Linked DNA regions of Oryctolagus cuniculus. The protein of the gene in region 1 purifies or fractionates together with the protein of each later gene. This does not show direct contact. Links are inferred from orthologs where the notes say so. Each region holds a gene or a part of one and is shown in the gene's direction. Other genes may lie near its edges.

Region 1 (3,651 bases):
TTAACAGATTTAGCATTTCTTCCAACCTAAATAGATAATGTACATAAAAGCAGACAGTATGATGCTAGGCCTAGGGTAGGAACCCATTAAGTACTAATTGAACCAAATAAATATTATGAATAATTTCTTCTAGAATTTATATTAAAGCATTTATAAGGTTTTTTTCCTTGATGATTTTCAATAGCAAGATTATGTATCTTGTTTTTTTATAGTGCTAGGCTACGTGTCTCTTCATATACTCACTAGTCAGCTAGAGAAGCCAGTTACAAATCCCTCTTGCTAGTTACATTTTTTAATGCAAAAGTAGATCCAACACTTTAGATAATTATCTGATTTATTTGTGGTGCTTTTATCTTGGAGGAATCCTGTCTGAGGTTAATAAGTATTTGGGGACAAAATGAAGTGTTCTGTAGCTGCTTTCATTTTTTTTTTAATACTGATGATAGCTGTGAATATGATGATTCATGCCTATTCAGTACTGCAGGAAGGTTAATAAAGCATCCTAAGGACACAGACACATGAAACTAAATTGGACCAAGTTACAAAAACCATTCCACCCTGTGCCCTGCCATAATTTCATCTCAAGGGATCAATAATAAACCCAGAAAATGTCTTTGCAAGTATTTTAAGCCTGGTGTTAGAGATTCTATTTCTCACTTTTTGCAAGCAAAATCCCTAAATTATTTTAGGAAGTCTTTACTATCATATGTCATTTTAATGATCAAGGTTTTTTTTTTTTTTCCATATAGCAATGACCTTATCACCTAGAACTTAGGATCTCCCATTAAAAGTTCTTCAACACAATTAAAGTAGGCTGAGTCTTTTAGATCTTGCCAGTTCTGGGCTTATAATGTCCATTCATCCATTTCTCTTGCACTCACTTTGTTGAATTCCCTAATTCGACATTAGATATTAGCATGCCATGAGCTATATTGTGCTTAAGGTGAATATGGAGAAATGTATTTCTCATTGTTTAGAGAGGAGAGCTCTGAGTAGAACTGGCAAAGCTGACCCTCTGACATGTCTAACTAACTCGGTCTGGGCATGGACATCAGAGCTTGCCAGTCTTCTGCCTCAGGGAGTGTACTTCCTGTAGTTTGTTGATTTCTGTGGTGACATTTAATGTTGGCGTATCTCTGTGCCTCTTTTTCTAGGATCTTTGGAATTAGATACTCCTTCACAGCCAGTGAACAATCACCACGCTCATTCACATACCCCAGTGGAAAGTAAGTTTGGTTGAGTGCGGTTAAGTTTTAAGTGCCATTAAAAAATCATTATACCACCTGGATATTCTCTGTTATTAGCTCTGCATAACTCAATGAGAAATAAATACCTTTCCCTTTTATTTTTGTGAAAGAATTTTTTTTCTTTTCAATTGCAGGCAGATGTATCTTTTTCATTTGGGAAAAGCATGTTTGGTTTGGCAACAGGTCGACTGTTTATGCTGAAATTCATAGCAGGGAGAATGTATGGTAGTAACAGCAGCATATACTCCCTGCCTGCCTCCAGCTGTCTGAGTCTCTCTAGGGAGTGATACAGCAGAGCCAGACCGTAAACTATTTTGTGGGAGTTTGTGTCTTTTTCATCCTGGACTTCTCGGTGCTTAGCCGAAGGTGTGGTATATAATACATCTCAAGTGCTCTCTGAGTTAGTGATTAAAGGAATTGTCAGGTGGCTGATTAGACAGTTGACTGACTGTAATGATACTTTTTTTTTTTGACAAATCAGTTTGATAGAAAAAAGGGTATTGAAGACTATTCCAAAAGTAGATAATGTTTTGAAAACAGAATTCCCCTCGTGTTTTATGTGAAGCCATGGGGCATCATGGATTGATTGTCTTCAGTCCTTTGCTGCAAGTGTTTAAAGTGTCTGAGATGTCTGTGCTTACGTGTGACACAGAGTTCTGCTTGTCCTCTCTTCTGAGAAAACGTGATGGTCTGAATTTCATGAAGAACTCAGGTTATAACTTCACTGGTTTGTAACTGGTTGGAAATATTATGCCTTGTCCATAGTTCTCTAAAATTTATACATGTGAATTTTTTATTTTTTGTTCAGAAAGGAAATATAATCCAACATCTCACCATACAACAGCAGATCATATTCCTGAAAAGAAGTTTAAATCTGAAGCTCTTCTATCCACCCTTACATCAGATGCCTCTAAGGAGAACACATTAGGTAAGTTTATTTCCTTAATGATGATTATTTGATTAATTGAGCTTTTTTGTGTGTTAGACTGAAGGGAAATGAAAACGTTTAGGCTTCAAAAACCACAGTTTGTTTACCTGTGTATTGTCTACCTGGGAAAAAGAAGAAGGAAAAATATAATACATTATTCATTTGACTCAATTCATAGTACATCAAAAATTTAAGTTTAATGACTGTATCTATGCTAGGAAATAATGTATTTTAAACTCACTAATGTGTTATGGTCTGCAACCATTTTTTCTATATTTCTACATAGGTTGTCGAAATAATAATTCCACAGCCTCTTCCAACAATGCTTTCAATGTGAATTCCTCCCAGCCTCTGGCATCCTATAACATCGGCTCATTATCCTCAGGAACTGGTGCGGGGGCAATTACTATGGCAGCTGCACAAGCAGTGCAAGCTACAGCTCAGGTAAGAAATAAAAGGTTTTAGAGATAAAATGTTATGTTTGTTTCAATCATTGGCAGATCCTTGTAGAAAGAACTAGATATGAGCAGTAGTTTTCTGACATTGTATAATTTCATTTTAACGTTGTATTGATACCTGACATTTTATTTAATGACTAGTAGGTAGGAGTCCCCTGGTTGATAATGAATGGTACAGAACAGATGTATCATGCAGACCCTTCATCTGGTAATCACTCCTGTTGCCCATGTCTTGACTGTAGTCACAGTACGTGCGGGGGTCATTCTTTGCTCTTTCTGTCAGTTCAAGGCTTTCTCTTTAGCAGTGGTACAGGTTGTCCTGTTTACTCAGAACAGTTTATCTCAATTCCAAATTAAGAAGTTACCCATGTGGTAATTACTACCTGTGTAAAAACTAATTTTAATCTTGCCATAAAATAGCTTAAATTCCAATACCGAAAAAAAATAATTTAAGCAAAATAAATACTGAATTAACCAAAATGATAGTGAACCTTATAAAGCTTGAAAGTCCATGCATTTACATAATATTAATGCTATCAATGCATGTCTATTGAAGATGAAAGAGGGACGAAGAACGTCAAGTTTAAAGGCCAGTTATGAAGCTTTTAAGAATAATGACTTTCAGCTGGGAAAAGAATTTTCAATGCCCAGGGAGACAGCTGGCTATTCATCGTCGTCAGCACTCATGACAACATTAACACAGAATGCCAGCTCATCAGCCGCCGACTCGCGCAGTGGTCGGAAGAGCAAGTAAGTGTGCACGTGACTGCACCTGCTGTACCTTTGCTGGGTGCTCAGGCCACTTGGCATCCCTGCTGGGCTTCCTCATATGAGGGTACTTCACAGACTTCATGGAAAAATGGTATTAAAAGATGTGTTTATTTTGATGCCAAACAGTTTTGGAATTTAACACTCTTGGTTCCCTGTCCTATCCACAGTAAGTATTCACATGTTGCTTGATAGTCATAGTTTTCATTTACTACTTTTGTGTATTTGTATTCTTTATGTTTTGATGAAT
Region 2 (4,269 bases), on another chromosome or scaffold:
AAGGGTTTGAGCCTCTTTATAGATGAAGCTGCTTGCAGCCTGTGAAGAGGCAGTGACAAGTGGTTGCAGTAATCGAGGGGAGAACGACAGTGGGCTGGCCTGGCTGGTGGAAATCATCTACTAAGCAGAGCAGACAGACTGGAGATGTATTTAGGCTTAGATGCTTGCCTGAATGAGCATCGATTAGCTCGTTCAATACCTGTCTCACCAGATAAAAGAAACGGATGACCTATCTAAATGTAGTTGGTACAATGCATCACGTCTTAGCCATGAATAAGCATTTTAAAAAATTGCAGGATCCTTCCCCTGGTGGGAGTTCTGGCGTGCAGAGGCCAGCTGTTTCGGCCTTTGCTGACGCCAGGCAAGGACACGTCCCTGCCTCTCGCTGGACACCTGGGAAAGGCATTGGCCCGTTACCTCCCCGCTGAGTCAAGTGTTTCCTGGTTCAGAGAGGAAGTGGCGTCATTCATGCCTCACTCCTGGCTTCCGGCTTTGATTTTGTAACCTCTGGCCTTTTTTGATCATTGGAATTGTATATCTAAGTCGGCTTGTGACCTGGCGAGGTGGTCACGGGGCTCTCCTGTCTGCCCGCCTGTTGACTGCTTGCTTTATCAATATTGGGGTTCCCAGTTGTGAGGCAGTGGCCGAGGGTGGCATCTGTGGGGAGAACCTGCCAGAGGCCTGCACGCAGGCCCGAGTCTGCCGGTGAACCGCTCTCCCTGCTGAGAAGCCAAACGCCGCTCCTCTGTGTGACTGGCGGCTGAGCCCTCAACTTGCCCTTGACCTCCACGAAGAACTGCGCGCCGTGAGGCTCCCTCCTTGCCGAAGTTCGGATATGAGTTCGTTTTCCTTTGCCAAGGGACCTGCTGGTGATTGGGAAATGCCTGTGTCTGGGGTTAACAATGGTTTCTAAGTGAATAAACGGGCCATTTAATTCTGTAACAAAAAATTAAAAAAAAAAAATTGCAGGAGCCTATTAATTTGTTTGATTCACTGGTTGACCCTACACAAAGTGGAGTACAATTTTATTCAACAAATGTTGGTTGAAAATGCTTTTTTTATGGAAAATCTTTAAAAATCCGTAAATTCACTGCAGTGCAAGGTCAGGAATTACTGCTCGTTGACACTTTATCCTATTTCCATACTTTATCCCATTTCCAGCCTCTTTCCTGAGCCCCTTCCCGCCCCAGGTTCCCACCGCGCCTCGGCGCCTGGTCACACCCCTGGGCCCGCCCCCCGACGCCTGGCTCTCCCGCTCCCTCCGCCCACCCTGCAAGCTCCGCCCCCTGGAGTCCCGCAACCCAACTCCTGCCCTCCTTCCGTCGCTTTCCGCCCAACCCCGCCCCCATGGCCACCTTCGATTGGCTAAACTGGCGGAGCCGCGGCGGGGATGCAGCGAAGCCGCATTATGATTGGCTGAAAGGTAGGCCTCCCTCCTCGTGATTGGCTGCTAAGGGGAGCCAGCAAGTGTGGCTGAGCTCTCGGGTGTGTGGACGCCGCTTTGTTGCCGGAGGGGGGTGGCGGTGGAAGTTAAGGGGGTCGGGGGCCAGCGCGTGTGGCGGCCGCTGTAGTCACTTCGCCCGGCACCTTTTCGCCCAGGAATCAAGCCGACGGCAGCCATGAGCGGCGGCGTGTACGGGGGAGGTGAGTGAAGGCGGCCCGGCCAGAGAGCGCGCCTTTTTGGCGTGTGGGGTTTGTAACCGCCGCCCCCAGCCCTCCCCTACCCGGCGGTCCCTTCCGGTCTCCCCCTCTCGGGACCCCGGCCTCCCCGCCCCATCCCCGCCCCGCGCTCTGCCCGCCCCCGGAGCCCACCCGGCTCAGCGTGCGCCTCGGGCGCCGGAGGAGCTGGGCTTTTGGGGTCGCGCGTGCTGCTTCCAGCGGGCCGGCCCGCGGCGCCCCGGCTGGAGTGTCTCGCCTCGGGGTGGCAGCCCCGCGTGTGTCTGCAAAATTCGCCCGTGTGGGGCTTGCGTCTGCGTTTAACCTGGGAGGCCCCCAGCAGTTGGCGAGCGCGGACGGAGGGTGTCCGCAACGTCCCATAGAAGGCAGAGCGGCCGCGAGAGGTGGACCGAGGGGAGAGGGGGCGGCCGCCTCGGTCTGCGCCCTGCGCTCGCGCTGCCTCACGTTCCTCAGCAGCTCCTGCCCATTCTTGACCGTGGAGTCTGCGGAGTTACTCGTGGGAGGGCCTGGTTGGGATGAATCTAGAGACACATGCAATTTAAGGACGCCCGGAAGCTTTGCCTGAGGTCCCGGGCGTCTGTTCTCTGGCTTTTCTTGAGTAGACTGTGTTGTGGTACAAAGATTACCACGGGCTGTGGGCATCGTCAAACTTCTCAGCGCCTTGGCCTTGGGCAGTTTACTTTCCCCGACTTTGCGCCGCTCGCTCGTGGGATGGGAATTCCTTAGCCAACGAGGGTGGCTGCCAAGATGGACCGACATGAAGCTACACCTGCTGCTCCAATTGAAGTCCGTGGAGCGGCAATATCAGCATCACCTGCAAGCTGTTTAGAAAGAATCTCAAGGCCCACCCTCCGTTCTACAGAGTCAGGGCTTCCATTTTTGAAAGATGCCCCAGACAATTGGAGCACTCACTGTTGGATTCACATTTTGGGGTGTGTTTGAGTTAGAGACCCAAAAGACAAATCCGAAATACAGTCAGCCTTGAGTAACTGTGGGCTCCACATCTGTGGATCCCACTAACTGTGGACCAGAAGTATTCAGAAAAAATTGCATCTGTATTGAACATGTGCAGATTTTGTTTCTTGTTATTCCCTAAAGTATAACAGCTGTTTACATAGTGTTTACATTGTACTAGGGATTATAAGTAACATAGAGAACACCTACTTAAAGTATCCAGTAGTCTGTGCCACAGGTTATAGGCAAATGCTACATCGGTTTATATAGTCGACTTGAGTATCCAAGGATTTTGGTGTATGGGGGTAGGGTCCTGTAACCAATCCGCTGCAAACACTGAGGGACTATGTGCTTGCTACTGCTACTGTTTTAGTAAGGATTCTCTTTCTGAAGAGGATGGCATTCCGCAGGTAAAGGGATAGGTAACTTTTCTAAGTTCTTAGTATTTTTGGTGGTGTAGTTTCAGAGTCTTCTCTGAGGCAGCATGCTGAGCCTGTTGCCTCCTCCTTCCTATTTTGTGTCCTTGATTTTCTTATTTTTACTTTGGATCTTGTTAATTCACCTCTTCCCCATCTGAAGATTCAGTCTTGACTCCAGAGAAACTGAGTCTAGACTCTTAGGAGCTCCAGGTTCATTGAATCAAGGATCCGGAGGCTGTCCAGTATTCCTTACAAGGCATTGTTTAGTATGACTGGTAGGAATGGGATAATACTAATGCTAGCAGCTAGCATTTATTAGGTGCGTACTGGAGACCAAGAGTATTCCAAAGGTTTTATGTGCATTATTTTTAATCCATGCAGTAACTCCTATAATCTACAACCACCATGTAAGATGGTATTATTATCCCTGTGTTACTGAAGAAAATGATGTAAAGATAGGAAAGGTTAAAAATCAGCCCAAAGTCATAATTATCTAGGGAGTTGAGAGCAAAAATCTCTGAAATAAAGGGCATTTCAGCCAAGCCCTTCCCTACTCCTTTAAAAAAGCCATTTCTTTGGTTATTTCTCTGTGTGTCATGTTTCAGTTATACAACCATAGTATTACCATGTATGACTTAGGTGTTCAGAATAAAACCACTTCTTGCTAGCTTATTCAGAGGAGTGTAAGGATTATTCAGAAAGTTTATGGAAAATGGAGTTGAATGTTTATTTTAGTGTGAACATTTTTGGAATTTAATCAAGAAAGCTTATGAAAAAACATGGATTTCAAAAATTTTTGCACCAAAATACTTAGTTTTTAATTCATTTTCCATGAACTTTTTGAAGTACTCTGATGTTTTAAAGTCTTTCATGTAGAAAGTACTTAGAATTCACAAAAGTAAGTATGATTTTGTGTTTATAGTGGATCATATTTTTCCAAGGAATTTAGTGTTAAAAGCAACCAAACCATTCACTTAAAAATGTTGAGTAATTGGGCCGGTGCTGTGGCATAGTGAGTAAAGCCACCGCCTGCAGTGCCGGCATCCCATGTGGGTGCCGGTTCGAGTCCTGGCTGCTCCATTTCTGATCCAGCTCTCTGCTGTGGCCTGGGAAAGCAGGAGCTTCTTCCAGGTTTCTGACATGGGTGCAGGGGCCCAAGGACTTGGGCCATCTTCTACTGCTTTCTCAGGCCATAGCAGAGAGCTGGATAGGAAGTGGA
Region 3 (3,651 bases), about 64 Mb from region 1:
CTTATGAAGGAAAAAATAATTAATAGAGAAAGTGCTTTCAGTCAGATTTCCACCCTCCACTTGCCAGCAGGTCAACTCTGAAAACAGCAATTCAGTAAAACCATACATTTCTTACCACTTTGTTTTCATCTCACAATGATAAAGGAGTCAGAAAGGATATTCTAGTGTGTGTTCCAGTTTTGTGCCATGATTACTATTTGCTATTTTTGTCAAAGGATTTGAAATAATGCTGAACAATTCTCTAGAAATTTTCTTGTTTTCAGCACAAAATACCTTTATAGTAATGAAAGAGCTGCATGTCAAGAATAAATATAACATACAGAACTTGAGCTGTTGGGGAAGAGAAAAAATGAAAACGAGTTTTAAAAGTATATCCATGTTAGAGAATAAAGTTTGTGTCAGTGGTTCTCCGCCAGAAATGGGATCAGGGATCAAATTTTTGGTATCAAAGTCAGCAGACAGTAGCCCCATATTTTTTGACACTTCTGAAAATTAAGAACTGTTTTTCCGTCATAGTAATACAAATTTAATGTTGTGGAGCAAAAATGGAAGTATATATAAAGCTTTATTCATCTATGAGGGTTAATCAACACTTCACAGAAAATAGACTATACTAAACATAACTTGTTAGATGTCTAATTTATCATCACTTTTTTTTTAATTTGTGACTAGTAAATATAAAAATTTGGGGAAATCAAATAGCTTAAGTTAGGATAAATTCCCTTAGGTCATATAGATTGCATTCTTCCATTGCATGTAGAGATTGACACAAATTACTTGGTATTGTTTTTACATGTATCTTTGCTTCATAGCTACTGCAGGATTTTCCTCTTGATTTACTTTTTCCTGTATTCACTGGGACTCTTGGCATAGTCCTCTGTATTATAGTTGGCAATAAATATGTATTGGGTGAAGTAGCTGGGAGAGAGGAAAGGAGACGGTAAAGAAAAATAGAACAAAATTACTCTGGAGTGTTTCACTGTTGCCTAACTCTAACAGTGTACTTCTATGTAATTAGCTTATCAGTGGACTACTTAAACATTGATAAATAAATTTTGTTTATATTTAAGAGAAATTCTCCATATTACAACTATTATTAGCTGATCTTTTTTTTTTAAATTTATTTATTTATTTTATTTTTTGACAGGCAGAGTGGACAGTGAGAGAGAGACAGAGAGACAGGTCTTCCTTTTGCCGTTGGTTCACCCTCCAATGGCCGCCGCGGCCAGCGCGCTGCTGCCGGCACACCGCGCTGATCCGACGGCAGGAGCCAGGTACTTCTCCTGGTCTCCCATGGGGTGCAGGGCCCAAGGACTTGGGCCATCCTCCACTGCACTCCCTGGCCACAGCAGAGAGCTGGCCTGGAAGAGGGGCAACCGGGACAGAATCCAGCGCCCCGACCGGGACTAGAACCTGGTGTGCTGGCGCCGCAAGGCGGAGGATTAGCCTAGTGAGCCGCGGCGCCGGCCAGCTGATCTTTTAATTGAAAATTTTAGATGTGTTATTTTTATTTAAAACTTTTTTTACTTGAGAGAACTCTCTCTCTAAAGTTCTCCCATTGGCTAGTTCACTCCTCAAATTACTGCAATAGCTCCCCAACTGGAGCCAGATCCAGGAGGCATAGACTCAATGCAGGTCTCCTCTGTGGGTGTCAAGAATCCTGTCACTTGAGCCATCACTGTTTTCTTCTGAAGTCCACATTATTAAGAAGCTAGAGTCAGGAGGGAAGCTGGATCTTGAACCCACACACTCTGATGTATATGACATGGGAGTTTTAAACCACATCGTAACTTCTGGTTCATATGTCTACCCTCTACCTCCCATTAACTTTTAAAGCCCTTGGTAACAACATAGTTGTTGTATGCATTGCATATTTAATTGTATGAAACTTTTCTGAATTCTAGTTCATATTTTTACAGATAGGATTTGTTTCAGGCATTGACTTGGCTTAAACTATGGCCTATGGTTATATTAAGTGAACATCTTTGCTCTCCAATTTGTAATCAGAAAAGTGTTTTCACTGTCATGAAAACCAGCGGTCCTGTTTTATTATTAAGGCTATAACCTAATAATATTATTTATTTTAATCAATGTTTTTCTCATGTGGTCACTGTAATATACAGAATTAAGAGCAATCTCAAAGATATCAAGTCTGAATGAATGACAAAATCCTCATGGTAGTACTTTATGGTACAATAAAACCATATACAGAAACTTTTTTAAGCATGCAATTATTTTTTTAAGATTTGTGTATTCATTTATTTGAAAGGTAGAATGAAAGACAGAAATATCTCATCTGCTACCTCAGTCCTCAAATGGCCACAACAGACAGACTTGGCCAGGCTGAAACCAGGATCCTGGAACTCCATCTGGGTCTCCCATGTAGGTGGCAAGGGTCCAAGCAGTTGGGCCATCTGCTGCTGCTTTCCCATGTGCATTAGCAGGTGGCTGGACCAGAAGGGGAGCAGCCAGGACTTGAACTGGTGCTCCTATGGGACACTGATGTCAAAGGCAGTGACTCGTCCACTGCGCCATAACACCAGCCCCCAAAGCATGTGATAGTAAGGACATCTTGGATATCAGTATATGAAAGCTTATAACAAATGAAAGATTTGTCATGTCTCTTGGGTTCTTTGCTGATAATGTGTATTTCATTATTTTTCATGTCAATTATGCAGTGTTTGTCATTTTCTACTAGAGTTGTTAAAAATACTTTAAAACATATTTATTTCTGAAATTAATGTCCTTTACCAGTAACAGGGGGTATCACAGAAGAGCAGTTTCAGACACATCAACAGCAGTTAGTTCAAATGCAAAGGCAGCAACTTGCTCAGCTTCAGCAGAAACAGCAATCTCAGCATTCCTCGCAACAGACACATCCGAAAGCACAGGTGAGCCTGTCTTTTAATCATGGTTATGTTCCTTTCTTTTGTGATAGTGTAGTTTTGCTCAGTTTTAGTCAAGGAGCAGGTAATAACCTTGATATCTTAATTTGGGGAATCTAACCTGGATTTCTTTGATTTATGTAATTTTAAATAACTAATTTTCCTAGAGTAATCTCTGACTATTAACTGCTTTTGGGGGCAAGGTTATTGAGTATGTGTCTAATTATATTTTGTTAAAACCATCATCTCTTACCTCCATTTCCCTAAAAAAGATTTTGTTCAAAGATATACCTTGCCTATCACCTTCCTAAACTATTATAAACAGTGAATCACATTTCCCTGTAGAAAATAATTACCACTAGAGGAAGTTGTCCATAGACACCATTAAATGAAGACATGATACTAGGGATAAGAATAAAAACACTACATAGCACCCAGTTGCCAGAAGGATCTAGCTCTGCCACCACCTTTATATTATTCGTGTAAGACTCGCTGTGGACTTGGGCCTCCAGAGCTTTATAGAATAAATTTCTGTTGTCTTATGCCCCTAAAAACAAAACTGAATCTGTTTCACGTTTGAATCACCTGAAAAAGATAAACAAACCTTGCATTGTAGGTCTTCAGTTTTGTTTTTCAATAATACTGGAAATACTTGTAAAGTAGTGACTGAGCTTAACTCAATCTTAGCTATATTCTGAGAGCTCAAGCCATTTAATTTGTAGAGTGAATACACCTTCCTTGAAGATCCTGAGTCCAGCACCATGAA

The links.
Region 2: the proteins of ING3 (region 1) and ACTL6A purify together in Homo sapiens (affinity purification with western blotting; 3 studies listed by BioGRID and IntAct, with this or other methods). This does not show direct contact. The link is inferred for Oryctolagus cuniculus from reciprocal best matches to the Homo sapiens genes ING3 and ACTL6A.
Region 3: the proteins of ING3 (region 1) and EPC2 purify together in Homo sapiens (affinity purification with mass spectrometry; 3 studies listed by BioGRID and IntAct, with this or other methods). This does not show direct contact. The link is inferred for Oryctolagus cuniculus from reciprocal best matches to the Homo sapiens genes ING3 and EPC2.

Annotation. Positions count from the first base shown.
Region 1 is NC_091434.1:156,954,730-156,958,380, forward strand, and holds part of ING3 (inhibitor of growth protein 3), read left to right. Parts: intron 1-1,154; coding exon 1,155-1,226; intron 1,227-2,055; coding exon 2,056-2,175; intron 2,176-2,461; coding exon 2,462-2,619; intron 2,620-3,189; coding exon 3,190-3,383; intron 3,384-3,651. UniProt on the Homo sapiens protein: Component of the NuA4 histone acetyltransferase (HAT) complex which is involved in transcriptional activation of select genes principally by acetylation of nucleosomal histones H4 and H2A.
Region 2 is NC_091435.1:100,246,969-100,251,237, reverse strand, and holds the start of ACTL6A (actin-like protein 6A), read left to right. Parts: upstream 1-1,433; 5' UTR 1,434-1,619; coding exon 1,620-1,644; intron 1,645-4,269.
Region 3 is NC_091434.1:93,444,209-93,447,859, reverse strand, and holds part of EPC2 (enhancer of polycomb homolog 2), read left to right. Parts: intron 1-2,754; coding exon 2,755-2,891; intron 2,892-3,651. UniProt on the Homo sapiens protein: May play a role in transcription or DNA repair.